2 linked regions of the Diceros bicornis minor genome follow. The protein of the gene in region 1 interacts with the protein of each later gene in a biochemical or structural test. Links are inferred from orthologs where the notes say so. Each region holds a gene or a part of one and is shown on either strand. Other genes may lie near its edges. The genes, in order: RNF20 and WAC.

What was found.
Region 2: the proteins of RNF20 (region 1) and WAC form a complex in vitro, tested with the Homo sapiens proteins (2 studies listed by BioGRID). The link is inferred for Diceros bicornis minor from reciprocal best matches to the Homo sapiens genes RNF20 and WAC.

Annotation. Positions count from the first base shown.
Region 1 is NC_080767.1:11,215,958-11,230,978, forward strand, and holds the start of RNF20 (E3 ubiquitin-protein ligase BRE1A), read left to right. Parts: upstream 1-8,102; 5' UTR 8,103-8,198; intron 8,199-8,234; exon of another isoform or gene 8,235-8,587; intron 8,588-9,244; 5' UTR 9,245-9,270; coding exon 9,271-9,399; intron 9,400-12,033; exon of another isoform or gene 12,034-12,108; intron 12,109-14,588; coding exon 14,589-14,756; intron 14,757-14,875; coding exon 14,876-15,021. UniProt on the Homo sapiens protein: Component of the RNF20/40 E3 ubiquitin-protein ligase complex that mediates monoubiquitination of 'Lys-120' of histone H2B (H2BK120ub1).
Region 2 is NC_080775.1:27,434,004-27,449,501, reverse strand, and holds the start of WAC (WW domain-containing adapter protein with coiled-coil), read right to left. Parts: upstream 5,427-15,498; 5' UTR 5,397-5,426; coding exon of another isoform or gene 5,390-5,396; 5' UTR 5,388-5,389; coding exon 5,347-5,387; intron 4,989-5,346; coding exon 4,953-4,988; coding exon of another isoform or gene 4,952-4,952; intron 3,402-4,951; coding exon 3,187-3,401; intron 1-3,186. Other genes in the region: uncharacterized protein LOC131398901, read left to right, coding at 5,390-5,396, 5,427-6,015, 6,785-6,986, 13,785-13,871.

The sequences.
Region 1 (15,021 bases):
TAAGGCAAGAATCTAAACATTCATGGGTTCCTGGCTGTGTACTACTGCTACAAGACCTTTTAACTGGGTTTGGCCACATGCCTTCATGCACCAGAAATTTATATCTGAGTGTATCAGAACGATGTGAGTAACATCATAATACAGTTAGTTTGTTAGAGTCAATAAATGTTTACATTGGCATACTATGTCAGTTATATTGATATCGATTCTCCTTTGTCAATCTCAGAATAATTTAAAAGCTAGGAATGAAAAAGACTAGACATAAGTAATAATCATGAACCACACAAGACAGCATATATACAATTAAGTGATAAATAGTATTTTTCAAATTAAGTAATGTACAGACCTTTCTCTAAAAGAAAACAAATTTCTCATGGACCACCTAGTGCTTACTTAAGTTATTTTTCTTATAATGTTAGTTAAAAATGTATAAACATAATCTTGGTATAAATGCCTTAGGCTTATATAACTATACAAACCAAAACATATTTACAAATTAAATATAAATACAGCCAAATAATCTTCACATGAACAATATTTGGTGTGACACCTGTGTTGTTTTGCTGGCATTAAGATACTGCTTGCAGTATGGATACGGTGTGCTATAGATTCTTTGGAGTTCAGTGATCCATCTCATCACTCTTGACTGCCTGTTGGGGAAGATGCCTGACCTCTATCCACGCAGATTCTCTTAGGACACCTATAAATTCCAAGGGTGAGAGAGGGTGTGCCTGGAAACCTAAATGCCCCAAATTTGTGCTCAGAGAGATTGACCTGAATGAGCACAATTACCCTGGGCTGGGATAATGATTATTGCATTAAAAAAATTTTTTTTTTTTTTTGGTGAGAACATTTAAGTTCTACTCTCTTAGCAGATTTCAATTATATAATACAGTTTAATTTTTTAAAAAGGAAAATATCATAGTATTCCTACTGTCATGGTGTTTCATGCTAGCACTATAAATTTAGATACATTTTCCATTGTGAAGCTATACCATCATTGAGCCAGCCCTTCTTGACAGGTATCATTAATATTAAAATAATATATCTAATCCTGCTTGTTTTGCTTCCAGGTTCATCAAGTAGCCTTTTGATTATCTGTAAATGTGGCTTCATGCACAGACCAGCTACAAGGAGAAAAAAATTAATGACCAGAGAATGCACATGTCTGGTGTTTTTGCAATAATTAACAAATAGGCATTTTGGTTAGAACACTGCATGTAAGTTTGGATAAGGAGTGTTTTCTTTAGTCCCTGATCCCCTGTGGGGGTCCTAAAACTGTAATCAATTTTGTGTTTTTGCCTCAGAGTAGGAAATAAGGTGCCTTCACCTACATAATACCACCTGGGGAGGTATCTTTATGCTAACCAGTCAGCCTTCCCTAGAGGATGCCTCTTTCCTGCATTGCATTTCAAATGTTAACACTGCTTCATTATCAGAGTTGATGGGTTTGAGCAACAAGAACTGGGACATTATCTGGAAAGTCTTAATCAAAGGAATGGAGACTTGAATTGGACCTTAAAAGACAGACATGGTGTAGATGTGTGACCCAGATGGGGCATGGTGATTAAGAAATGGGGTTCATATCACACAAGCAAATTCAGCTGTTAACTGCAGAAAGACAACATGTAAGGTGGTTGGCATGGACTGAAAATATACGCAGTGGGAAAATACATGCGGTGGGGAAAGACTACATGAGTTAGGGAGTCTTCAGCGTCATCATTCTCTTCAAGACATAAGGAGATAAAAAAGTGAAAAGGAGTATAAAGAAAGGAAGCAAGAAAATCATCATTTGCAGATGATAGGATTGTTCTCCACCCAAAAAAAGAAAAAGAACCTAAGAGAATCAACAAGAGAGTTTTGTAAGATAATAAGTCGAAGGCAGAAAAATACATAGCTATCCTATATAGCACTTATATCCAAGTGGAAAATATAATTCAAAAAGTCTTATTCTCAATAGCAACAAAACCTACGGACTATCTAAATATAAATTTGATAAGTAACATGAAAGACATAATAGAAGAAAACCGTGACACTTTACTGAAACATAAAGGAGCACTTGAGAAAATGGAGAGATATGATGTGTTCCTGGTTGGGAAGACTAAATATGAGAAAATTTTCATTTCTCCCTAAATTATTCTATAAACGTAATGCACTATATCAAAATCTCAACAGAATTTTGTTTATAAAGTTTACAGATAGCTTTGATTCCCCGCTCCTGCCATATGCCCCGTCTCCAAATACCATCATGCTGCGTGTCACAATACGTGTTTTGGGGGGGGACACAATTGAGTCCACAGTATTGGGTTATTGAAAGTCTTGGGGGAATGGGCTCTTCTTCCATTCTCCTCTCCGCAGGAGTAAAAACAGTAATCTTTGGAGTAACTTTGGAGTAAAATACAATAATCCCTTTACAAACTACATTTGAAGGGATTAAAGGAGTGCCTGGGTACTAGAAGTGGGACCACCTGTCAGCAAGACTCCACACCTTCATTTGCAGGAGTCAGATGGGAGCCCCTGGCCTCTGTGTCTCTGAGCAAGACTCCAAAGCGACATTTTTTCAACCTCAAAGCCTTAGGACCTCCAGCACTGGTTATCCCAATCCTTTGGTCATCCAGTGGATGCTGTGGTGTGCTGTCAACATCTTCCCCTGCCCCCCTTTATTTATTTATTTTTTTGTGAGGAAGATCAGCCCTGAGCTAACATCCATGCTAATCCTCCTCTTTTTGCTGAGGAAGACCGGCCCTGAGCTAACATCTATTGCCAATCCTCCTCCTTTTTTTCCTCCCTTTTCTCCCCAAAGCCCCAGTAGATAGTTGTATGTCATAGTTGCACACCCTTCTAGTTGCTGTATGTGGGACGCGGCCTCAGCATGGCGGGAGAAGTGGTGCGTCGGTGTGCGCCCGGGATCAAACCTGGGCCGCCAGTAGCGGAGCGCACACACTTAACCGCTAAACCACGGGCCGGCCCCCCGCCCCCCTTTAGAACTGAGGAGCTCATTTTCCCCAGCTGCCGGGAATGTTGGATGTCAGTGTTCAGCTGAGTTCCTATCCAGAGTTTGCCCTTGGCTGAAGAAAGCCACCTCACTCAAAGTCCTTCCCCCTTCCCCAGGTCACCTGGTATCCACATCCAATACTGATTGATGCAGGGATGTAAAAGCTTAGCCTCCATGCCTCAATTCAGGGCAACTCTGATAGGCTTTCCCAGTTCTCGAGTTACCCACATCAGTGGAGGCCTTTGTGGTGACAGCAACACAGTCCAATTTCTCCTTCTGCCCAGTCCTGCTTCTTCCCCTCTCCTACAGGTGCTAAAGCTCTTGCATGCATATCTCCATGTCAGAGTCTATTTCCTAAAGATTCCAACAAGGGTCAGTCTCTTATTCCTATTTGACTCTGCCCCTGGCCTTTGTGGACCCTTCTCCACCTCTTCCATTCTTTGAAACTCTTTCTAAATGTCTTCTGGAATTCCAGATCAGTCAGCAAAAATCTTTACATGAAGGTTTGAGATAGACAATTTTCTTTCAGTCCCCTGGATGTTAGAATAGTTATTTCTAGTTTACTCTTATTCAGAGGGCTCTCTAATAGTGTTGACTGAGGAAAAATCACTGCAATTTAAACGGCAGATATTGGGCAATTAGAATTGCAGTTTGGGAGACACAGGTTTAGGCAGAAACCCAAATGTGCTCTGGAGAAGACAAGGCAAGGGTTTATAAAGAGAAAAACAGATAAATCATACAGGCTATTTTGCAAGATGCATGATTGGTGCTAGCAACAACCGTTATTCCTTGGCTATGTGTGATTGGTTGCTAAGGCATCGCCAAGGCAAAAAAGTTCTTACCCATGGGAGGAAGCATTTTTCTATAGAAATAAGCATTTTTTCTTTTTTTAAGGGAAGGTCAAGATAACAGCGAGGCACAGCTCAAAAATTCACGCTGCATCATGCAGAGGTGTGGTGTACGTGCATAAGCCTCACTTCCTCAGCTCCATTTAGAAGCACCGGCACATGTGACTCCATTTTGTTATTGCTGTCCACAACAGGCACTCAACCTTGATAGGCCCTGGGCTTTGTCTCCTGTACCTCTTGCCTTTCAAGGCCATGAAAACCTAAGTTCACTTTTACCCAGTTTGACAAATGCCCTTAAGCTGAAATCCAGTTTTAGTCCTCAGCTTGTTTTCTAAAGGATGGTCATTCTATGCTGCTGAAAATGAAAATTCAAAATCTTACCTTCGTAACTATGTTCCATACCCCTACACTAATGCCTGATGCAAGCATTTCAGTAATATTTTTTCTCCTCCAAGGCTGGGTGGATTGCCAGTTACCCAGTAACAGCAGTATGAAATAGTGGACGTACCCAGTGAGAATTCACTAAGACAGCGTGGCTTTTGCTTTGCAAATTCTCATCCTCTAGAGGGAGTCACGGCCAGCACAAATGCATAATGAAAATCAAAATTATAAAAATATTAGTAACCTAAACACAGAATGTCACATGGCCTAAAAACACAAAAGACCAATTCTCTGTCACATATCACAATGCAGCTTTTCAGGAGAGCATTACATGAAGTGGGGCTTCTCTGACAATTTGTGACTACAAATCAGCTCTCATGCTTCCATAAACCCTGCTAGGACTCCCTGTCCTCACTCTCTGAGGATGAGAGGCCTGGCTTTGGTCCCCTGGACTAAGCCATGACCACGGTCCCCAGAAATCACAAAGTGAGAGGGCCGGGCATGGCATAGCACAGCGGACCAGGTGATCTGGGGAGAAGGAGGCAGGGCGTAGAGAAGAAGAGAGAGATGTGGCAATCCTACCTTATAGGAGGAGGTAGGAGAGGCTGAGGACAAGAGGAGGGGCTTGGTTTCTGTAGAACACTCTCAGGAAGAGCTGGATATCATCACTTAGTACAGTGTTCCTCAAACGTGCCCAGATGGTGGGCATAATTTCAAAAGTAAGAACTTGCATTTCCAGAGAGCTTTCCCCTGGAGATTCTGATTCACTAAGCCTAGAGCAGGAGCCATGGAGTCTGTATGTTTCTGTTTAACAAGTGATGTCATGCTAGATAAAATACAACTTGACTAAAAATAAGGATAAATAAGGGACTTCTGGAATTATGCCTAGCACACAAATAATCCAATCCAGACTTCATGGAATATTGGAATGCATGGAGATATAACAACAATCTTACAGCAGTACATTTGCAGAGAACATAGACAAAATGGTAAATAAGAATCCAAAATTTCTTAATTATGTCTTTTATGAGAGCATTGAGCCCATCCTAAGTAGTTGTCCAGGTTTCTAAGAGTTGAAGACATGACCGAAGGGTAAGTGCAGTACTCTGCAACGGAAGCTTTAGAAGAACTGGGATCAAAAGCGTGTTGCCTGCTGCCACCTTGTGGCAGAATTGTGTAGTTAACGAAAATGAGGGACAAGTCAAAAGAGTTGGGTCCTTTGACAAATATTCATTAAATAACTTGGAAAAATCACTTGAAATCTTCCTGAGTGTGTTTTCTCCTCTAAAAAAGCATTATTACTGTATTAGTTATGTTATAATGTTGTTGAGACAAGCAATGAGAGCTTTCAAAGACAAGTGATATAAAATATTAAGTATTATTTTAGTATAGCAAATGCTGCTCTGCCATTTCTGGGTGAGGGCTAAACATTTTTCCAGGGCTAGTCTTTTTCTCTTGATTAAGATGGTGAACAGGTGGTGGCTGGTCAGAAATGAGGAATAAGGTCAATGAGCACAGTCTCTGCCATCCTCCCCTTCATCTATTCCATTTTCCCAATTCTCTAGGGTGAGACTACCTCTTTGGATCAGGACAGGCTATCGGGAAGGTGTCAGATGGCTGACTGGGGCTTTCGGAAAAGATACATCTCACCAGCAGCTGGAGAATGTGGTTGTCTACATGATGAGAATTGAAAGGTCCTATAAAGATCTGTTCTCTTCTCATCATCTTCTCTAGCGCTTTGAAATGTGGGTTGAAGTTAGGGCTGTCCTGAGTTGATCTGGCTCTATTTCCCTGAGATTCTCTTAATTCTGCCCACCTCTGTGTTGGCTTCATTATCAAGCTGGGTAGCAAGAACTCCAACAGTTTCAGGCCTCACACAAAAAATTCAGAAGATAAGTATACTGCTTCAGTCCTAGTATTCAAAGCAATTCACCCTGAACTGTCCATTGTTAAGACTAGGACTTTGGCTTGAGGAATGGGACTTACTATTTATATTAAGGCAATCTTTGGAGATGGAAGTGAAGTCGGCTTCCCCCAAGACATACGGAATGAAGTAAGTGAAATGGATATGTGAATAATATCCTAGTTGTGTTAAGAAGGTGAGGGAGGGAGAATGGATACTGGGTAGGCAACCAATAATGTTCACTTAATATCAGCAACTGATTTATGACAATACAACACACAGGTGATGATACACAACTGAAACTCGAAGAGTGGCAGGGAACTGATGATGAAGAGTGGGGATTACAGCAAACAGGAATAAAAGAGGAAGCACTGCTCAGCTCTAGGCAATGTGGCCATGCAAGAATACAAGCCTGGTGTTGCTAGATCCTCAACATTTCCAAGAGAAGTTGATAATCTGGATTTTTACTTCAAATATCTTATTTTAAATGTTGGCAACAAGCCAGTTTTTTTTCCCCCTCCTTAGCCACAAAGCGCAGCCAATACTGGCCAAAATAAAGCAAGCATATCTGTTGGCCAAATACAGCCTGTGAGCCTCTTGTTTACAAACTTTGGGCTAGAAGAACCATTGCTTGCCATTCAGCGGTTCTGTGGATGCAAGACTTGCCAAGAGTAGAGCAGCCAAAGTAGGGAGATCAGAGAATGAATATCATTTCTAGTACAATGCTTTTCAGCAGGTGGATCCCCAAACACGGTTCTCAGGGTTCTGCTTTGCCTGAAAAAATCTGAAGTCCAAGTGGGGCCAGTTACTTCTTTCCAGGCTAGTTAAAGCGTTCCAGTACTGGAAACCACGAACACTCGTTTTCCCATTGTTTACTTTCTTACTTCACCCACAGGTAAGACCTAGGGACAAAAGTCTTCACGTGACCAGAAATCCAGTGTGGATTAGGGTTGATCTTTTTTCCAAAGATGCCTAAATTCCATTGGTGGTTCTTCTTTTTTTTTTTTTTTTTTAAGACATAACAATCATTTTTCCATCTCTGGGCACCTATCTGATACCATGAGATACTTTTTCATAGTTCTATGACACATACAGCCTTTTATTGATAAATTAGAATGATTACCTTACTATCATTAAAACATAGACATTTAGCTTAATTGAACAGGAAATAGCAGTTTGTTATTGACTAAAACCAATGCTTAATTAGCTTCAAATAGACTACTGTTGAGATCAGAAACAACTCATTCATTTGTGTTTCTTATCTTTTCCCTGGTCAATTTCTTGTTCCAAAGATGCACAACAGCAGTAGTTGTCAATGTTGTTTGCACACTAGAATCTCATGGGTGGGGGAGGGGTGGGGAAATGCTTTAAATAAAGTGTGGATGTCCAGGCCCTACCCTACAGGGACCAAAACTCCCCAAGTGACTCTAATGTGTAGACAGGGCTGTACATAGTTCCCTGTAAAAGTCTCCAAGCCCCGAAACCCATCCAACCTCTTGGATTTTCTGCAGAACCCTTCATTTCAGCACCAATGGACTCCGCCGAGTAAAAGTTTCCGGAGGTATCGGAGGCTAGCTCTCACCTGCCGGAGATTGACGGGACCATCAGCCAATCGGCAGCCTGAAAGAGTCTCGGTAGAACTAATACCAAGCAACAGAACAAGGCACTTTATCTCAGTAGAAAAACCAGGTGGCGGGCGCAAAGGCCAACAAGCCGAAAAAGTCACTGGAGCTGAAGGCCCTGGTGCATCCGAAGTCTCAGCCGACCGCACCTGCAAACGTTGCCAGTGAGACCGCGCTTACTTCCGGGCGCTCGGCGCCCTCGCGGGACGTCACTTCCGCCCGGCTGTGTTGCGTAGTCCACCCGGCCGGGTTGAAGCGACTTCCTCTTTTCTTTCCCTTTTTCCTGTCCCTGGCCCCGCCTCCCGGAAGTTCGATGGGTCTGCGCCCGCGGGTCAGGGGTGAGAGGTGGGAGGGCTCTGCAGACGCTGGTGAACAACCTGCCTGAGTTCTGCACCCGGGCGGCGCGAGCTGGAAGAACCCGGGTTAGGTCTCGGCCCAGGGCGCGACGGGTAAGGGCGGGCCCTCGGGAATCGCCACCCTCTCCGGCTCCCGGGCGTGCAGGTGGCCGCGCCGGAGGCTGGGGTCCTTGGCCCCTCGCGAGTCGGGTTGAGGCCCTTGTCCTGCTTCTCTGTCTCCCCTGTCCTCAGGCGAGGTCCCGCTCAGGCTGCCGCCCCCAATACCCCGCTCCGGGAGCTTGAATTGGAAGCAGGGTAATGTGACGGCAGGGCTGCTTCCTAAAGTAGCCAGGTGCCTTGGCATTCATTCCGCCTCATTTGAGCTCCGGAACCCTGGGAGGCTGGTAGGGCAGACACGGTATTTGTTCGCTTCCGTTGTACGTCTGAGGAAACTGAAGCTTTTGGAGAACGAAGTCTTTCAAGGCAATTCAGCTTCCTAAGAGGTAGCACTGGGATTCGCCCCCAAGCCTAGCTTCCCTAGGCTTGCACAAAATCATGGGGAGAGCGTTTGGAAATAGGGAAGAAACTGGAAATATAAAAAGGAGAGCTGGCATTTCTGAGCGCATACTTCATCTCAGGCATTGTGCTAAGTTCTTTCTGTACTCATTCATTCCTTATAAGGGGCATAGGAAGTATATACTGTTGTTATTCCTGGTTTAGGAACTTGAGGCTCGGATGATAAGTGACTTGTCCAATACTGATGATTTGGTAGACATCTCCCAGCTCTCTTTCAGCTCTGTGATTCTCCCAACCCTACGGAATTAACTTCCATCCTAATCAAACTGTACTTTTCAGATTTTGGCATTTCAGGAAGTGAGATTTCTGAAATTTTTCTCGATCTTTTCATCCTTTGCCGGTTGCTTTCTTTCTTATCAGTATTCCATTTAGAAATTTATAGTCATGTAAATTCAGCCCTGACTCTTACTCCACAATTTACTTTTTTCTTTCTAAGAGGCATTTGGGTTGCATGGTGTGGAATTAATGGATGCAGGTTAAAGGGTTGGCTGGAAAAATTGTTATTTTTTACATCATAGGTGGTCTCTTTTTATTGTTGCTCTCATTGCATATCTTACCCCAGTTTCTGCCCTTTTTCCCTCTAGGAAAACAGCTATTGTCTTGTGCCAAGATGTCAGGAATTGGAAATAAAAGAGCGGCCGGAGAGCCTGGCACATCCGTGCCTCCGGAGAAGAAGACAGCTGTTGAAGATTCAGGGACCACGGTGGAAACAATTAAGCTCGGGGGCGTCTCTTCAACGGTATGTGGCAACAGTGCTATTAGAGGGTGCTTTTCTTCTGTCAGTTGCAACCTGAAAGTAAGAGTTTATGGAAGCCTTCTTGATCTTTATTTTCAAAAGTGTGCTTATATTTTTTGGAGAGTCTGGTGCCTGAGATAGCGTTGATTATAGGTATTTAGCAGTGGGAAGGTATACATTCATTTTTCATTCACTGAAAAATTAAGTGCCAGATACTAAGAGGCAGTGTAGCAGAATCATTGAGAGAGTGATGGCGAGGGAGAGTCTGAGGCCAGACTGCCTGGAGTTGACTCTCCACTCCACCGCTTCCTAGCTGCCTGGCCTTGTGGTATCCTGCCTGTGCCTCTTGTTTCCTTGACTGTAAGATGTAATTATAGTACCTTCCTCATTGGGTTGTTGAGAGGATAAAACGAAAGAGTCCGTGTTCAGGGTTAAAACATTATCTCTAACATGGTAAGTATTCCATATATGTGAGCTATTCATAATTATTATTGGACTAGATGATATGGATATAATGGTGAATGAAACAGATACTATCCTTTCTCTTATAACAGTTTCCTTAGACTGTTATACACCAAAAGCTCATAGTGATGTTATATGTTGATTAGACATCAGCAGCTTGCTATAATGGGTTTTGATCTAGATCAGGATTCCGTATTTTAAAACTCAGCTGTGGGAATATGGTGTTAAAATGCTTTACATCTGTATAGCTTACAAAACCATATCTGTTACTTATTTGTTTTGAGGCTGAGGATTAGAAAGAGTAATAGGAACATTCAGAGTAAACTATTGATGAAGTGTCATTTCTGAGACCATCTGGGGTTCAGCTACTCCATACTGCTGCCAGGAGGTGATTTTTTTCTCAGCACTGTCTCTCATTATGCATCCCAAGGACATTTATTCATTCAGTAAATATAAACATTTGTTGAGTATCTGTCATTTGCTGGATGCTGTGCTTTACACTGAGGACAGCCCCTGGACTCCAGTTTGTAGGGTGGCACTGACAAGGGAGCAGACTGTTATGATAGAGTGGGATATGTGCTCTTCATAGGGATAACCACGTGCTCTAAGGGAAGGTGGAGCACACGTCCCAGTACTGATGTAATCCAGAAGGCAGTGAGGAGCCATTGGAAGGTCTTAAGCAGGGGAGTAACATGCTCTGATGTATGTTTGGAGAAAAGACTTAGAGGAGCAAGGGTTATAAGCCAGAGTTGAGTTAGCAAAATTGTTCCCTTGTTCCTTCTCTCCCTTCCCCCTCCCACTCCACCTCTCTAAGGGTGGGGAGCTGAGGCATATATCCACTGATTCCTGCCCCAATTGGTTGAAGGCAATAACCTTTCCTCTGCACTTCGAGGTTGCTGTAGTGAGCCAGCTGAGACTGGAACCAAAAACTGAGACTCCAAAGTGTGCTTAAGTGGGAACACTGGCATTGTGAATGGAGCTGTCCACCACAGCTGTGCTGAAGTCTGGCAGGCTGACAGGACATGGCATGGGGCACAAATGTCGGCTACAGGAGGCTTTTGCAGTAATCTTGATGAGGATCGTAGTGGTTTGGACCACTGTGGAGGTAGCATTGACAAGATTTGCTGATGGACTGGATGAAGTATATGAGAAAAAGGAGGCTAGATGACCCCAGGATTTTGGAAGTATGGGGTTTCCACTTACTGAGCTGGGGAGGAGTAAGAGAGGAGCAGAGTTTTGGGAGCTGTGGAGAATGAATCATGAGTTTGCTTTTAGACATGTACGTTGGAGATATTTGTTAGACCTCTGTGTGGATGGGTAGTTGGATATTGTAATCTCCAGTCTGGAGAGAGGTCTGGGCTACAGCTGTACTTTTGGGAGTCATCATTTTGTAGATGATTTTTAAATCCATGAGACTGGAGGCTCTCCCCTAAGAAGTAAGCGTAGATAAAGACGAGATCTGAGAACAGAGCACTGGAGCACTACAGCATTTTCGTGTCAAGGAGATGAGAAGAGACTAACTAAAGAGATGGAAGAAGAAGCGCTGGTGTGGTAGGAGGAGAACAAGAGACAGTGGGGTCCCAGAAGCCAAATGAAGATAGTGTTTCCAGAAGGAGTTGATCAGGTGCTGCTGATGGGTTGAGTAAGGGGAGAACTGAGATGTTCGAGTCAGCATGGAAAGTTTGCTGGAGACTTGACCAGAACTGTGTTGGTAGAGTGGTGGCGATGGAAGCCTGATTGCAGTGAACTTAAGAGAATATGAGAGGAGAGGAATTGAGGAAAAGAGGGTCGAGACAGTGCTTTGGAGGAGTACTGATGTAAAGCAGAACAAAGAAAATGGGGCAGTAGCCAGAGGGAAACGAGGGGTCGAGGGAAGGTTTTGTTGTTGTTTTTTGAGGCAGGAGATATTATAGCACGTTTATTGGTTGAAATGATTTGGTAGCGAGGACAAACTTGATGTAGCAGAAAAAGGAGACAGTTACTGGTGTGATGTCCTTGAATAGGCGAGAGAATGTAATATAATGCGCAAGCGGGGAGATTGGCCTTAATTAGGAGCAGGGACAGTTTATCTGCAGCATCCAGCAGGAGGGCAGGGGATATGGGTTCAGATGTAGTTGTGGTTGTGGGAGACAGATGTGGGCATCCTCTTCTGATTGCGTCTGTTTTTTTTTTCAGTGAAATCAGAAGCAAGACTCATCTGAGAGTGAGGATGGGGGAGGAAGTTTTGGAGGTTTGAAGAGACAGGAGAAGGTATGAAGTAGTCATCTTGAAGAGAGAATGGACTAGAGAGATGGAGTAGGCTTGCTGGGCAGCACTGAGGACCTCCTTGAATTTGTGGTCACGAGTTTAAAGTGAGCCCAGTCAGCATGGTGCTTGATTATTTTCTAGTCGTGTTCAGCTGTGTGTGTGTAGGCCTGGAGTAGGTGGGGAGTTGGATGTTACCAGGATTGGGGTTTTACCAGGCTAGTATGAGGAAGGAGAAGGTTATAAAGGGACTCGATTTTAATGACTGATCATGGAATTTAATTTTGATAAAGAAGGAAGAGAGGAGTGAAGGACAGGGAAAGGTGTAGGAATGTTGGAATGTAGATTCTGGAGGAGTTGAAGAATTGTTGGAGTCAGAAAACTAGAGAGAGTGAGCTGGAAAAACAGGTGGTAATTGTGGAGAATGGAGTGTTTGAAACTGAGCTTATGGAGAGCATACAGGTACAGCCAAGGCTAAGACTACGAATACCTGTGGGAGTTTGGTGACTCAGGGAGGTAGAGGATGAGGTCATTGGAGGAAAGGAGGTCAATGACTTGATGAGCCAAGATATAGGAACGATCATCTATGTGGAAATTGAAATCAGTAAGAACTATGACAGGGGTAGAATTGGAGAGAGTGATAAAAGTGAGGTGCTAAATCTTCAGGAAATGTGGAAAAGTGACCTGGCCATTTATAGATGAGTGCAACAAGGCAGAGTGCCAGGTGGTATAGACCAATGGCATGAGCTGCAAAGCTAGGAGGTTTTAGGGAGGAGGGAGAGATAACGGCCTAGAAGTGGCAATGAAGAACAAGGAGGACACCCGTCCCTCCAGGCCCAGGGCTTTAAGGGGTGTGAGAGAGAAACCACCACCACTGGAGAAGCCTGCAGGGAAGCAGTATTCTCTTCCAGGTTTTAGTTAGAGCAAGAAGGTGAAGGCAGTGTTCAGAGAACAGGTTGAGGATGTAGTTCAGTAATAGTATTAATAAACTGGTACAGTTGGGAAACTCTTGACTATTTTGGTGTATCAAGAATGTTTTAACCAAAATGGGAGAAAATAAAAGTGAAACAAGAAATTGGTGTTCTAATAAGTAGTTCTTATTTTAAAGTATTCATTAATTCCTAGGCAAAGTAAAAATGTAATCCGTTCCACGTACTGTTCTTTTACCGAGATACTACCTACCCCACTCCGGCACCCCACCTTGTCCTAGGGAAGGAGCTAGAGAGAGAGAGGTGAAAGATACTGAGAGGGGTGCAGAATTCCTAATGGAGTGACGATTTTGAAGAAACAGAAGAGAACGAGGTCCTGAGCACAAGTTGAGGTTTTAAGAATGTGGGCATAGGTTGGTAAGTGGTGTGAAGGGGTCAAGGAGATGGGGAGTTGAGGAGCTTTCCATCTGATGGCTTCTGTTTTCTTGTTAAAATAGGAAGCAAAGTCATCTGCTTAGTGTGATGTGAGAGGAGGCAGGGCTTGGTAGAGTTTGATATTGCCTTGATGGAGAGTAGGAGATAGCTCACTTGTTAAAGAAAGAAACATTTCTGGACAACTTATAAGATCTGTTCAGGTTAGGAGTTCATTTTATAAAGGCACCAGTCTCCCTGACTGATCATATCTAGAGGTCTCAGCATACTGGGTATAGGAATGGAATAGTCAGATATGTGGATTAACTCAGACTGGGGTTTGTTTGCAGAGGTGGAATAAAAGGATTAAGGGCAGAGAATTGAAGAGCCTGATAGGCGAGTGTTTGAAGGAATGTACTATAGGTATAGTCAAGATATAGAAGATAATGGAGACAGAGGGGACTGACAGAGAGAAAGGAGAGAATTCAAAATTTTGGAGATCTAGATGAGGACTGGTATTTTGGAATAAGGGCATGAGTTACCTAGAAAGATATGGTTTTATTCAGGGAATGGGAAGTTGGAATTTAAGATTTCAGATTTGGCACAGTTTCAGATAATGAGAAAAATCCAAGATGTGGCTTTTGAAATGCATGGCTGAAGCCCAGTGGAGGAGATAATCATTGGAGTTAAGGAATTCAAAACACAGCCTACATGCCAGAGGATGTCCACGTGTATACTGAGGTCACTGACAAGCACTGGGATAGAGAAGGACCCAGGTGTCAAAGACGTGAATAAATGAAGGGCAGTGCTCAGGAGATAGGTTAGAGTGTGGATCAGTGTAGAGGGTGATCTAGCTGGATGGTGGAGCCTCATGGTGTGGTACTTTTGTGGATGTACCTGTGATTGGAACTGTAAGATGGGTGAGAGAGTTCTAGTATATTTGTACGTGTCATTCTTTCCTTCTATCATCATAGACCCTTTCCTTTATTTCTTCTGCTCCTACTTCTTACCTATTTGTTGTAAGATTTTTTTGTAATGAATAGCTTTATTCATGGGAATTAACTAACTAATATGACCTTGTTGAGTTTAGCAGCTGATCTGTTTAATTTATTTGTGGAGACTAATAAGATTGGTTTCCTGAGGCAGGAGGAGTTAGACATTCGAACGCTGCAAACCAAAAATCGCAAGCTGGCAGAAATGCTGGATCAACGGCAGGCCATTGAAGATGAACTCCGTGAGCACATTGAAAAACTGGAGCGAAGACAGGCCACTGACGATGCCTCACTGTTGATTGTCAACCGGTACTGGAGTCAGGTAGCTGGCTTGTTTATCTGCTCAGGTTTTTTTTTGAGCAATATAGTTCTCCTTAGCACTGTCTTCATTTCCCAAGTTGTGTATTTTGTTTTTTCATAATTGTACCTACCCTTCTCCAGTTTGATGAAAACATCCGTATCATCCTTAAACGTTACGATCTGGAGCAGGGTTTGGGAGATCTCCTCACCGAAAGAAAGGCCCTTGTTGTGCCTGAACCGGAACCAGACTCGGACAGCAACCAGGAACGGAAAGATGACCGAGAGAG
Region 2 (15,498 bases), on another chromosome or scaffold:
ACCTTAAGATTCTTGCTTTTGCTTATATTTACACAAAAAATTATATCTTTTGCAGATAGATCACAGAATACATAAAAATAACTTATTTCACTAAGTTAAAGAACCTTTTTAGTAAGTTATACTCTCACATAATTTCCCTTAATTTACAATAGATAATCTACATTCCCTTTAATAAACTCTTAAGGGATAAAATCTCTGACTTATAACTGTATGTACTATGTTGCAATAAGTCTTTTCTTAACTAAAGATTTCTAGGAGTGACAATCCTTCTCAATCTCTGCTTTCTTACTTTTTATAGTATATCTTAAAGTACTTTTATACATTACTTCTGAACTGGCACTTTTCAAGGAAATCCAAGGTGCCATGAAAGAAATCGAATAATTACTGAAAAAACTATGTTGTGATGTGGATAGATACCAGAAAGCCCAATCCTGAGAAAAACATCAACACATCTTGCAAGTTCCACATTTGTTTAACTTGCTTTTGTAAAATGCAAGTTACAAATCACAGCACATAGGCTGTTATTAGATATTTACTAAAGAAAGTCATTAACTGTTTTTAAATCCTAAAATTAAAAAACAGACTTGAAATTATGTAGAACAATATAGTAACCTGTTGTTACATTGTTACTTATACATGCTGAGCGCAAAAATAATCCAACTCACTTGCATTTGACTTTGGATAATGGTTTTGAATATATATATGCACATAAAAATATTTATATATATTTAATATAAATTCATATTTATTTAAAGATAGAAATCTAAGGGAATAAAATATCTGTGATAAAATTATTCATATGCAGTTTAAAAAACTTAGTTTCAAACACATATTAGCAGTAAAAAAAAAAAAAAAAAACACCTGGAGTCAAAGTATAATGACTAAACATCTAAGTATTAAATGAGGGAAGAATTACCACTTGAGATCTTTAAAATACAGAATTAACAGCAAAAAGGCACTCTGAACTCCAGAATGGAGATCTAATATATTATGGTGTTATTATTCCTACATAGTATAAAGGAATATGGCAACGAGGTAATCTTAGAGATAGTACAGACAAGGATGGAGTTACAGCATCAGTTAAAAGGCTCCAGAGGAAGACAGACAAGCAGCTAAAAAGCAAATTAGAAAGTGAGGCCTAACTTAGCAAAGGACTAGACGAGAAAAATAAGTAAGAAGTTTCTTACAAATGGACCTAAAAAAAATCAGCAAGCAGATGCAAGTAAAAAGGAAACTAAAAGCCAACAAGAGGTTATCTGGAGTTATCATAGGAAGTAAAATTAAAATCAACAAGAAGAAAAAAGGATTACAGAAAAAGTAAGCAGCTAAACCACCACTAGCTCTCAAGAGTCAAAGCCTTTAAGAATAGCTTCAGGGCCAGGATTGCATCTTATCTTTACTTCCAGAAACACTACACAATTGTTGACACACAGTGGATGCCCAATGTTTGTTGAATGAATAAGCAACAGAATGTTCTTGGGATTATTTCACCTGTAAAAGAATTAATCAGGCATGGTTCACTGTAAATGTAACAAAGCTTTTACAGAAGTTTCCTCGAGTACCTCACTGACTTCTTCCTGGATTTGGGGACAGATGATACGTTAACTGGAACATAATCACTAAAAGAGAATCTAAGATACTTATCTATAAGGAGACGAGTTGCCACATCCTATTTTGTCACAATCCCCCAAATTTTAAAAATACAACAGTGTAACACAAATAGTACCTGCCTTCCAAGAGCTATTATCCGAAATGAAATCACTATAGAAGAATGGTTGATAACAGCATGATCTCAGACTACACATAAGACTATAGAAAATTTACCCACAAAATTGAAAATATTAATAGTTTAAGTAATTTTGTCAACAACTTCTAATACTTTAATAACCAAACGTGCCTGCTACTTCTACTTACAAATGTATGGTTTCTAAGTGCTGCATAAGCAGCACAAAGCTATATATAGCTATATTCAAAAGAGAAATATTATTTTGCACTCATCCAATAACCATCCAAACTACTTCATCTTCATTCAATCTTCTAACCATTATTAATTTCCCCAATCCAGGAACTACGTACAGAGGCGGCCAATGTTTCTCAATATCTGATCACACTGAGTAAAGCTGATTTCTGTCCTAAGAGGCAAAACAGAGGCCAAAAAGATACAGGATATTTTTTTAAAGTAAACAAAGTATTGAGAAGCTAGTTGACAATCAAAAGCAGAAAGCCACATGGTACAACACTTAGTTTCCTTAGAAGTTTATAAAAGCACAATCAATACTGTATATTCACCTCAAGGACGTTATCTACTAAGCAATATAATGTGGGAAAAATATAAATGGTATTAACCACCTTAGTGAAATTGATTTGTTCCTCCATGAATGCTTTAAACATTGAGGAACAATGAATGGTCCTCAATGAATCTGATATTTTGGTACATTTTGGGCAAATTAAGTTTAAAAATAGTTTTGAGTTTATTTTTATTTACTTTTTCTCAGCCTCGTACCACAAAGAGCTTGAGGCAAGGTAACTGAAGAGTCACAGCACTGCACAAAAGGCTAACTTTTAAAAAGTTCAATACTTCAATGAACATGGTATAGAAGTTAGGTTATTCACAAGACCCTGGAGAATACAGAATATTTTAAACGTTTACAACAAAAACCGAAAAGGAATTTTCTGAATCACAAATTTTTTTTTTAAACCTGTGAACTGTCTCAAAAAACATACTAAGTTTTTTTTTCATACTAAGTTTTTAACTGCATAATTTATCCTTAGGAAACACACTTGAACTCCTTAAAAAATAAATTCAAGTAGCAACAAGGATCTCAAAATAAACTAAGCCAAATAAACTGAAACCTTTATTTGAAAAGATTAAAGCTCCTTTCTTGGAAAAATGTCCTGTACATTTCTCTCCTTAATAAAGAATTTGGTAGACTATATTCATCAATGCATTCTCTAATTATCAACCAGTGAAGTCCATTTTCAGATCCTCAGGTCAGCACCTTACTTCTACAGTAACTTGCTTAGGAATCAAATAAGTTGATAAAAATAAAATTATTTTGATGACATAACCATATGGTAATGTCCACAAGCTGGAAATATTACCACCCCCTTGTTTATCTATTGTTTTACATAGAGCTATTGTGAAAAATAAACATACATGAAAGTTTCAACAAAAAAGCTACTCACCACCATCCCTCTCTCTAACTCTGTGAATATGCACATTTTTGGCCTTACTGTGACCTGTGCTGTCACTATATTTGTTTTCAGGACTATCAGATCTCCGCAACATTTTATTTGGTGGTGAAGGATCTGCGGCGTCTCGCATTTTTTCATGTCTGTGATCACCGCTACTGGGGTGACTCTTCGATGAATATTTAAGTGCCTGTAAAACATCACCCCCCCAAAAAGAAGAGAGAAAGAATTGAAACTTTAAACTTAACTTCCTAAATTAATTTTATCATAAAATTTGATGTTATTAAATTTATTGTTTCATAAATTTATATCAATAAAATTAAAATTTCCACTTTCAATTCTGCCTTTAAGTTAGTCAAACAAGTCTTAAATGCCTAAGAGTTACTATAAGACTCCTCACACAAATCATAATACCCTATGTAAAAGAGAAAAAATAAAAGAAAAAAAATCCACTCCATTAAGTATCTCGTAAATACAAGAAATCAGACACCTCTGTACATTAATTCCTCAATAAATTTTTCTGGGAACTAAAAAATTTAATTTAAAGAAAAGTACAAACAGTACTACTGTAAGCTATCTCTGCTCTACAACTACAAGTAAAAGTAAGCATAAGCATGTTTCTGCAAACCTACAAAAAATAAAAGCATCAGTCTCTCCAATTCTTTGATTCAAATACAGCACTTCAAACCTAACTAACCAACTCTTGCAGATGTGGGATACAATTTTAAGGTATAAAAATGTTGTGTGATATTTCTAACAAAACATAATGGAACTCCCTTCACAATGATTTTAGTTTCATTCTAAAACATATTTAAGACAACTATGATATACCAGTCTTTTACAGCATATAATTAATTATGTTCTAGAGGGGCAGATTCAACAGCGTTTAATTTTTGACTATCCAAATGTAACAAACAATGTTTTTGACGTTATCAGGGGACGTAAGGTTTTTAACTTGAGCTTTAACAACTCACGGTAGCCAGTAACAAAACTGTCAGCTTAGAAACCTACTCTCCTTTCCTTTAAGTGATCAGATGTAGAAAGTATTTACTTCTGGTGTCATCTGATAGTTACCAACCATTTATGAAGTTTTTCCTCCTGAAAAAAAGGACCACTTCCACACAATTTTTAAAAACTTTCCACACAGCAACTGCTGTAAAAAAAGGAACCAACATACCTAGCACTGTCTACATTAGAATGAGTTGTCTAAGTATCCAAAGATCTCAATTCTTTCAGAAACAAAAGCACTCTTCCACTAGTCAGGCAATTATTTGCACCAAAAACAAAACGGGAAGCGATAGGGGTTTACAACACACTTAAGAGTTGCGAATCAATTAGCTGTTTCTTCCCAGACCTTTCATTTAATCTTAATACCTTTACATTAACTTTTAGTTCTAATTTTAATATCTTTACGTTAACTTTTAGTTCCCCACTACAATAAATAAATATGGTTCAGAAGGCACCTCATCCCACCGATTCCTTCAAGCCCAAATAATCAAGTCAGGTCTTTTCTGGCCGAGAATGATTTTTTTCTAAAAAAACTGAACTTCCTCCAGTCACCTGTCAAAACAAGTCACTAACGCTCGCTGGAGAGCGCTCAGGGAACCCAACACACGATTTTCAGGGGCCCCGCGGTGCTAGTTTGGGATCTGTTGCACAGAAGGGCCTGTAGCGACTTCTGAAGCCTGCGCTCGAGTAGCAGTTCCTCCCTTCCCCCTCCGTCCCCCCATCCACCCCCCACCCCGGGCTCGGCTGGTACCTGGTAAGGCTGCGAGTCCCCCCTCCGGTCGTGACAGCTGAAAAACAGGAAGAGAGGCAGCGACATGAGACATCTCGGGGAGAGGAAGAAAACGCGCCCCCCCCGCCCCTCCCCGCGGGAGACCTCCCGAGCGGACCGGCGACCAGCCCACACGCGCGCGCGCACACACGCAGCCTCAGGCGGCCCCGAGAGGGCGAAGCCCCGCGCCCCGGCCCGCGCTCCCTCCGCACCCGCCCGTGCTCGCCCGCTCGCGCGGCGGCTCCTCCTCCCCGCCCGATCCCGAGCAGGCTTAACAACAAAAATGGCGGCGCGGCAGCACCAGCTCAGGAGGAACAGCCCCCCCGCCGCCGCCCCCCGCCCGCTGCGGCCCGGCCGGAAAGGAAAAGACGATTTACCCATCACTGAGTCTCTGCTGTTTCCTCGCATACATTACCATCAATGCCCGGCCTGTGAGTGTGTGTCGGGGGGCGGAGAGCGGCCGCGAGGGGCGGGCGGGCGCGCAGGCGGCGGGCGGGCGGGCGGCAGCACCGGCACCAGGGCCCGGCGCGCCCTCGGCGACTCTCAGCACCTCCCCGTTACTGGCGCCGGCGCTCCCGGGCCATCTCCCTGCGGTCGCACCACGCTCACACTCAGCCCGGGCAGCGGCGCCAACTACACGGCGGCAGCGGCGAACCGGGGGGAGGGGGCCAAGAAGACGCGTCCGGCTCGGCCCCGCGGAGAGCGACTGCCTCCTCCGCCTTCTCCTCCTGCTCCGCCGCCGCCTCCCCTCCTCCCCCCGCCGCCGCCGCTGCCTGGTCCTTCTCCTCCTCCTCCTCCTGCCGCCGCCGCCACCGCCGCTGCTGGTGCCGCCGCTGCCGCTCCACCAACTACATCCGGGCAACTCGGCCGCTGCGGCCTTCGGCAAACCTCGGCAGTTTCCGCCGCGCCCCTCCTCTCCCAGCCTCTGCCTCTCTCCCCGCCCCGCGCAGCTCCGGAACGCCGCCTTCGGCAAACCTCGGTTCGCCCCGGCCTTCCTCTTCCTCTGAGGCCTGTTTCGCCTCCTCGCGACCCGTCAGCTCTTTCCGGTTGCCGCTTCTTTTCCTCACGCGACGTCCGGCCAGCGCCGTTCCCTTTTAGGGATAGTCCTGCTCGGGGACCTGCTCGAGGCCGGTCCCAGGGGCCCTGCGGTGCGCGGGGAGGGAGCCGCCTTCAGGAGGAGGACGGTGGGGCGCGAGAGAAGCCATCGCGGACTAAATAGGGAGGCGGCGGCTGCTGCGCGTGCGCCCAGCGGCGCGGGGGTGGAAGGGTGCCCGCCCCTTCGGGCGCTGGCCGGGTGGTCGGCAGCCCCCGGTCAAGCGGCGGGCGGACGGCTGTCAAGGAGCTCTCTCGGTTTGCTGCGACGGCAGCCGCTTCAGGGAGGCGGGGGGCCCACCGTTCCCCCGGGCCCCTCATGGAGCCGGAACCGGGGCCTGGGCGCCTGCCCCCACCCTGCCGCCGCGCGCGCGGCCGGCCTTCGGCGGGCGGGGGCTGCTCGGAGCCCGGCGAGGGCAGTTGGCAGTAAGTCACTCCCCGGAACGTCGGGAGAGCGAGCTTTCCGAGGAGGGGAGACGACGGGGGGGGGGGGGTCTCGAGACTGCAGGGAGGCCGGGTGTCTGCGCGCTGAGGGAAGATTCTAGAGTGAGGAGGGCGCCGCTCCGGGCCGTGAAGTAGAACCTCGGGTGGGCCTGGGGCCTTAGGGGGATGGGTTGCTGGGAGAAAATGCTGAACCAATCGCCTCCTCCACATTCAGTATCTTCCACCGCCAGTCGTGCCCTCCCCACCCTCTCCTTTATTTCTCGTTTTTCTCTCTTTTAGTTCTTCTTCCTCGCTGGAGCCTTTTGGTGAAATTCCTCTGGAAGTTCTGCATGTGAATAAAGGCATGGGGGGTGCTCCACGAAATGGCTGCAAATTGAATTTTCCGTCCTGCTGCAGGCCCAGTAGCAACGCTGGCATAATGGGAGGGAACAGGTCAAGTCTGCCAGAAAATGAAGCTTTACTTGAGAGTGGCAGTAATCCGGTAATTTTTTTTTTCTGCTCTAAACTCCTTGTAAGGCAACATTAATTTAATTAAAAGGATTGTAATAAACATAAATATACAACTGTTTACACAGAATAAAAAGGTATAATAGGAAACATCACAAATAAGATCCCTCCAAAAGACAATATCAAAAACTAATTGATTTATTTGGTATCCAACAAGTTATCTTGTTGTTGGGCCTAATGAAGAAATGGAATGATGTGAGGAAAAAGACCCTGACGTTACAACTGCTTGAAAGAAAGAATTACATACCCTTATTTGTCACAGCTGCCTGCTGAATACTAAAATTATTGCGGTTTGTGAGGACCAGTAAAAGCCTACTTCATGCCGGTAAGCTGTCGGTAACTCAGGAAAAACTGCCAGTGAGTGAAATGAGGGGAAAAAAAAAAACCTCGAGTCTTATGTGCAATTTCTAACATTTTTCTAACAAATACATTGAAAACAAGAGACACCAGCTTAGAAGAGTATAGAAAATAATATATCAATGTAGAAACTTTTTGACAACTAACAGCAACATTTGTTTTGTTTGATAATCAGACGTCTACTGAAATTGATGTATACTATTTGATTAAAAGCAGCAGACTGGGCTTAGCTATGGAGGAAACAGTTCCAAGCAGTGTACATTCAGTCCTCATTCTTCACAGATTCCATATTTGCGAATTCGCCTACTTACTAAAATTTATTTGTACCCTGAAAATCAGTATGTGCAGCGTTCATGGACATGCGCAGAGTGACAGAAAATTTAACTTGTCTGACATGCATGTGTCCAGCTGAGGTTAAGCAAGGGGACACTCTGCTGCCTTATTTCAGCTCTCATACTGTGGACAGATGTGCTTTTCACAATATACATATCATCATGTTTCTCACATTTTTGTGCTATTTATTGGTGGTTTTGCTGTTTTAAGTGCCCCCAAGCATAGTGCTGAAGTGCTGTCTGATATTCCTAAGCACAAGAAGGCTGTGATGTGCCTTGCAGAGAAAACACTGTCCTAGATAAGCTACCTTCAGACTTATCATTAGTGCTCTTGGCCATAATGAGTTCAGTATTAATGAATCAACAATATATATTAAACAAGGTGTCTAAACAGAAACACATGAAACACATTATGTATTGATGAAAATGTTGTGACCAGAGTCTCTTGGGAACTGAACCCTGCATTTCCCCCAGGAGCAGTTCAGGGTTCATGGTAACTTTATAGAACATAACTACCTCAAATAATGAGAATCGACTATTTACTAAAAGGCACATCTGAATGCTATACCCATTTTTTAAAGATTCATTGCCTACCTTAGACTGCATTATCTGTTGTTATAAACCCTCCTCTGCAGGTATCTTCAGTGCGTTCCTCCTTCTTCCTTTGTTGTACGTGCCTAAATCAGAACCCTTGTTAATTCACTGTATGCCTGCAGCAGAGCTATTGAACTTGGTTGGAGAAAAACACATCTGCACTCTGAAGTGAGCTCCTTGTGTTCCTGACCCCCTCAGGCTAATTTCCCTAATCCGTTTATCCCGCCTTCTTAAACAACTATTTAACATCTTTTAAACCTGACTGTACATCCCACTCCTCTCTAGTAAATCATTATCTTGCTTCTTATCTAAGAAAACAGAAATCAGTAGTAGTTCTCACTGTGGCACTTGCCAATCTTCCTGCATCTGAATACCCTGCTACACCAGTAACTGTAGATAAACTGTCAAAATTCCCATCTAAGACCAAACTTGCCCCTTTTGCATTGAGTTCCATTTTACTCTTGGAATTGTCCAGTTTCCTTATGAATTTTTCCCCTCTCAGCTGGATCACTTTTGTCAACTTATAAACGTGTTGATATTTTTATTTTTGCTGAGGAAGATTCACCCTGAGCTAACATCTGTTGCCAACCTTCCTGTTTCTGCTTGAGGTAGATTCACCCTGGGCTAACATCTGTGCCAGTCTTCCTCTGTTTTGTATGTGGGTTGCTGCCACAGCGTGACTGCTGACGAGTAGTGTAGGTCTGTGCCTGGGAACAGAACCAGGGCTGCTGAAGTGGAGCGTGCTGAGTTTAGCCATGGGGCCAGCCCCATAAACAGGTGTTAATAGCTACCATCTTCAAAAAAAAAAAAATCTTGACTTGTATCTCCCTCCAAATGCTGCCCCATTACTCTGATCTGCTCTCCTGTATAGAAAAACTTCATCTCCACTTCTACTCTCTTGAACCTACAAATCAGACTTGATCCTGACATTCCACTGAAATTGCTCAAAATCGTCATTAGCCTCCATGTTCTCAAATCCATTTTTTTCCCTCAGTCTTCATCTCACTTCACCTGTCAGCAGCATTTGAAACAGCTGATGACTTACTCTCTCCTTCCTGAAGCTCCTTATCTTGCCTGCCAGGATTCCATTCTGTATTTCACTCTTGCTTCTCTTCCTTCCTAAATGGCTGTTCCTTACTCCCCTTGCTGGTTCCTTCTCAGTTTCCCCCCTCTAAATGCTGGAGTGCCCCAGGATTCAAATCTCACAACTTGGACTGCTTCTCCTCTCTCTACTCTCTTTCCCTAGGCAGTCCCATCCAGATCTCCAGCCAAGTGAAACCCACATTTGAGTCTTCAGCCCACACCTTTTCCCTAAATACTGGACTTAACACTGAACTGCCTACTCTATAGCACTGCTTGACTGTCTAACAGGCTTCACAAACTTAATGTATCCAAAACCAAACTCTAATTTTTCCCCCCAAACAAATCCCAATCAGATCTTCCCTATTTCATGAAATGGCAACTGCATTCTTCCAGCTGAGGCTACAAACTTTGGAGTCATCCTTGATTCTTTCAGACCTCACATCCACTTCCCCAGCAAATCCTACCAGTATTATCTTCAGAATATACCCAGAGTCTGATTGTTCACCACCTCCATCCCATTCACTCTGGTCCAAGCCACCAACTTATATCTAGACTGTAGCAGAGGCCTCCTGCTGATCTCCTACTTCAGCCCTTGCTTCCACATGGTCTAGTCACACAGCAGTCAGAGTAATCTCTTTAAAAGTCAATATCATTCCCATCTTAAAACCCACCAGTGGCTTCCCATCTCAGAATAAAAGCCAAAGTTCTTACAATGGTCTACTGTGCTATGTAAACTGCCCCCACCCACGTTACCTCGGGCTTTATATCCAATGACTTGACTTATTCTTTTTCCACTACTCTATCCTCCCTTTTTCTCCAATATATCAAGCGTGTCTCTGTCTCAGGACCTTTGCACTATTATCCTACCTGGAATACTTTTCCTCTTGGTGCCTACCTGGCTCACACTCTCACTTCTTTAGATCTTTCTCAAATCTCACCTTATCAGAAAGGTCTTTCCGTTGAAAGCTATATAAATGGCACCCCATGGCCATCTCTCTCCCTTACCTTGCTCTATTTTTCTTATACTATTTGCTATATAGTATGTCATATATTTTGTTTATCTGTTGGGTTATCTCCCACTAAAATGAAAGCTTTGTGACAAATCAGATAAATATTTGTTGAATGAAAGGATATTTGCCTACAAAAAAATATACAAAGAAAATAACAAAATACTGTAATTCTCAAGAGGAAAAGATGTATGAGTTTATTTCTGCTTGCTTTCTAAAAACAATAAAATTATAGATCCAATCTTGCTGTCACAAATAAAATGGGGAAAAGCTGGATTATTCCTAATACAGAAAAAGGTATAACAAATAACATTTGAAAATTTACATAAATTTGCCTATATAGCAAATCTTAAGCAGACTGTTTGCATTTCTTTCTACGGAGCAATCTCAAGTTTGTAAGTGAGCAAAAGTCCCGTATTTCAACCAATAGATTAACACACATCAATCAGTAGAGGGGGAGAACTATCAGCCCACAGACTATAAGTGACCATGATTTGCATGTGATCGTATTGGTGGAGAAAGAATGAAAAAGTGAAGTCCTCAAGCTTCTAGTTGTAAAAGAGACTTAAAATAGATTTTGCTGGAATTTCTAAAGGGGCACAAAATAAGGATATATTCCCTGAAATTTTTACCTACCTCTTAGTTTCTATCGCTTTTTTCACTATCCTTGCCTTCCTCTCAGACTTGGCATAGTATAGTGATTAAAAGCGTGGGTTTTGGAATCAGAATGACATAATGTAGAGCTCTGTTATTGACTGACTAACAGTGTGACTTTGGGCAGATTACCCAAGTCTCAGATATTATGCTGCTTCATCTCTAAAATTGGCTTGAGAGGGTATAGGGCTGTTTGTAACAAGTAAATTATATAAATAATTTAGCAGCACCTGGCACATGCTCCACCAATGATGGTTATCATTCATTCATTCAAAAGCATCATTAAATGTCTGTGTATCATGGCTTAGAAACATAATATGAAGCAAATTCACTTGGTCTCTGCTCTTATGGAGTTTATATTTTAACTAACTACAATATATAACTAAAAGGAGACCCTTTGTATTCTCAGATTTGTGATGTGAGGCTTTTATTCAATTATGTGGAAAAATAGGAAAACTGCAACAAAAATTACTACTTAGAAAGAGTAAAGACCTCCAGGATAGCACCATGTCAGTGTATGGTGTATCCTTCTAAGCAGGGATAATAATACAAATAATGTAATCGGCAGATCCTGGGATCCTTTTTAACTCGTGTATTAGCAGTAGAGGGAAGTTCTGGATTTGCAAACTGGCCATTTTTTGAAGTTTCTCCAAGTGATAGAGACTAAAGTGCAGCCAAGATTGAGAAATACAACCTAGACCCTTTACCTCTGTCTGGGAAAACTTTAGCCTGAATTAACCTGACTATTCAGTTTCTCAGTACTTCTCAGCAGTTGTACACTGCTAAAGACTATTGAACAATAGAATAGACTGATTTTACTAAAATCTCGTGGTCACCAAAATCAAACGGACCCTAAGTACAGCCAAGCAATGTTACATTTCTCTCTTCGTCTTCCTCACATACTCCAACAAGTTTTTCAGACTTCCACTCTCTTCAAACCTATCCCCCTCACTTTACTAACTCTCCTTCACTTTCAGCAGATAACATCGCCTCCTTCCTCCTAAACTGAAACCATCAAATGGAAATTTCTTCCTGCTTACAAATATACAAATATACCTACACGCAACTTATCCTTATATTTACTCAACAATTTATTGAGTACCCACTGTGTGCTGGGGATACATCAATGAACAATACAAACAAAAATCTCTACTCTCCTGGAGCTTATATTCTAGTGGGAAAGGACAGGCATAAAATAAATAAATGATATAGTAGTTTAGAAGGTAGTAAGTGCTATGGAGAAGAGTGGAGGGTGATAGGAAGTACCAGATTAAGGAGTAATATATTAAATAGAGTGGTCATTGAGCAAATGACATTTGAGCAAAGACTTGAACATGATGAAGAAGCAAGCCTTATGGGTGTCTAGAGAGGACTGTTCCTGCCAAAGGGAACAGTAAGAGCAAATATCGTAAGACAGGAGTGTGCCTGATGTGTTCAAGAACAATAAGGAAAGCTGTGTGGGTGAAATGTGGTGACTGAGGGGGAAAGTATTAGGACGTGAGGTCAGATAGGTTAAAAGGAAGGGATGGGGGAGCAGATCATGAAGGATCTAATAGGCCATTTTAAAAAGGTTGGCTTTTATTTTGAGTCAGAAGAGAAGCCATTGGAGAGTTATGAGCAGAGAAGTGGCACTGGCTACTATGTTGACAATAGTTTATATGGCAAGAAAGGAAGCAGGGAAATGAGTTTGGATGCTACTGTATTGTCCTAAGGTCACTGTTTCAAAACAGGAGTTAAGCCTCCTCTCTAAGGTTATTTCCTTCACATATGTTTTCCTTCCGCCCCTTCAGTTACTTTACACTATCAATGATCTTTTTCTTTGTATACTCAAACTGTCCCTTTCATCTGGATCATTTCTGTTGGTTTTTAAACATGTCTGAATCGTATGTCAAAAAAACCCTTCCTTACCTGCAATTACTCTGTTGTATTTCTCACTTCAGCCAAACTTCCAGTAAGACTTGCCTTTGGCACCTCACTCATTTTCATGCTTCTCTATTTATATTTCAGGTCACTATACTATGACATCTGCCCTCATCACCAAAATAGATTTTCCTAAGGCAGTGGTTCTTCAAGAGGTAGTGCTGATTCTCCAGGAGGAATTTGGAAATGTGTGGCAGGATTTTTTTGGTTTTGACTTGCATATTTTTTTTATTATAACTTGAGGGTGAGGGGTACTACTGGTGTTTAGTTGTGGGAGGTTAAGGATGCCTAATATACTGCAATGTGTAGGACAGTCCCTTACATTTAAGAATTGTCCTTGGGGCTTGTCCTGTGGCCTAGTCATTAAGTTTGGCGTGCTCTGCTTCGGTGGCCCGGGTTTGGTTCCCGGGTGCAGACATGCACTACTCATCAGTGGTCATGCTGTGGCGGCAAGCCACATACAAAATAGAGGAAGACTGGCACAGATGTTAGCTCAGGGGGAATCTTCCTTAAGCAAAAAAACAAAAGAAGATTGGCGATGGATATTAGCTCATGGCGAATCTTCCTAAGTGAAAAATAAAAAAAAAAAGAATTGTTCTCAAAATACTGATATCACCCTATTGAAAAACAGTCTTAAGGTCACAAATGACTTCTGTGTACCTGTGTCCACTGAACATTTTTCAGTCTTTTTCCTACTTGATCTTAGAATATTTGACATTGATAGCTACTGTCTTTGCATTACCCTTCTCTCTTGGTGTCTGTAACACATCACATTCCTTGTTTTCTTCCTGTCTCTCTGACAGCTCCTCTCATTCCTTTTTGCAGACTCATCCTCTTCTACTCCATTACCAAATGTTGAGGTTCTTCAAGAATCAGTCCCATGGAGGTGATGTCAGCAAAAATGGCAAGTAGGGAACTCCAAGGACACATCTCTCCACATAAGCAGCAAATAAATTGGCAAAAATTGTCAGAAACAAGCTTATATCAACTCTGGAAACTGGTGAAAGGTTACAGTAGCCAGACAAACACTTAATCAAGAAAAAGGTTGTTGAATCTCAGTAGGAGACCTCTGTGTCAGTTAAACTTACCATGGCCACATTTTCCTCATCGCCAGTTCAGTGGCAATTTTGAAGATGACAACCTGCATTTCAGGTGTAGGTTCCTGGTGCCAGAGGGAGCAGAATGGACCTTGTCCTCAAAGAATTGTGATGATGTATTTTTGACCTGTCTGGTGGCTCTGTGAAGGACTGGTGCAAAAAGTTCACTCCTATTTCACCTAATTTGAACCTCTCCTGAGGCAGAGAGGTGATTACCCAGGGGGCATTTGTCAAAAACATTTAAAGGCAAGTTTATTAGCTGCTGTCACCTGGAGAAAGAAATAACAGTTGGGGCAAACAATAGACACCAAAAAGCCTAGGAGGGAAGGCTGAGGAGTGAGATACTTGGGAGAATAAAGTCTTTGAAAAGTTCCCACATGTTTCTTGGAATCTGAAAGGCCACATGCACACTCAGTGTGGGGCATATGCTCAGAAAAGACCTGAAAAGGCCCTAAGCGCTTACTTCTCGCTAAATTTCAGACTCTGCTCAAATAGGAAGTGAAGGCTAAGGTGGATTTATAAATTACCCAGCTGAATGTTGAAGGTGTGCCCCAACACATACACAGAGCCCGCTGGCAAAGACTGGAAGTGTTTTTTCTTCGTTTTTTGGTTCTAGGCATTTAAGGAAATCTCTTGAGTCACTAGCTGACCACTAAGCCAACAGAACAGAGACTTCAGTGGCCACACACAAGGAATATAGACTACAAAGTTAGTTCAGAAAAATCGTTAAACAAACAACAGAAACCACAACAAGCAGTAACAACAAACTCGAGAGAGAGAGGAGAATCTGATTTTCAGACTTGCAACATTATAATAATCGAAATGTACAGTGTTCAACAAGAAGTTACAAGACAGGCAAAAAAATGAGAAAGTATGGCCAATAGTCACGAAGAAAAGAAATAATAGAAACTGTCCCCAAGGACACACCAACATTGGACTTACTGGACAAAGACTTTCCATCAACTCTTTTAAATATGCTGGAAGTGCTAAAGAAAACCATGGACAAAGAACTAAAAGATATCAAGAGAACAATGTCTCACCAAATTGAGACTATAAATAAAGAGATTGAAATTATAAAAAGGAACCAAATAGAAATTCTGGAGTTGAAAAGTACAATAACTGAAACTAAAAATTCACTATAGGGGTTCAACTGCAGATGTGAGCAGTCATAAAAAAGAATTAGCAGACTTCAAGATAGGTCAATTAAAATTCATGTGAAGACCAGAAAGGAAAAAATAAAAATGAACAGAGCTTAAGAGACTTGTGGGACAACATGAAGAATGTACGTATAATGGTTGTCCCAGAGGAGAGGAGAGACGGGCAGAAAGAATACTTGAAGAAATAATGGTAGAAAACTTCCCAAATTTGGTGCATGATATGGATCTAGATGTCCAAGAAGCTCAATGAACTCCAAGTAGAATAAACTCAGGGAGACCCACACC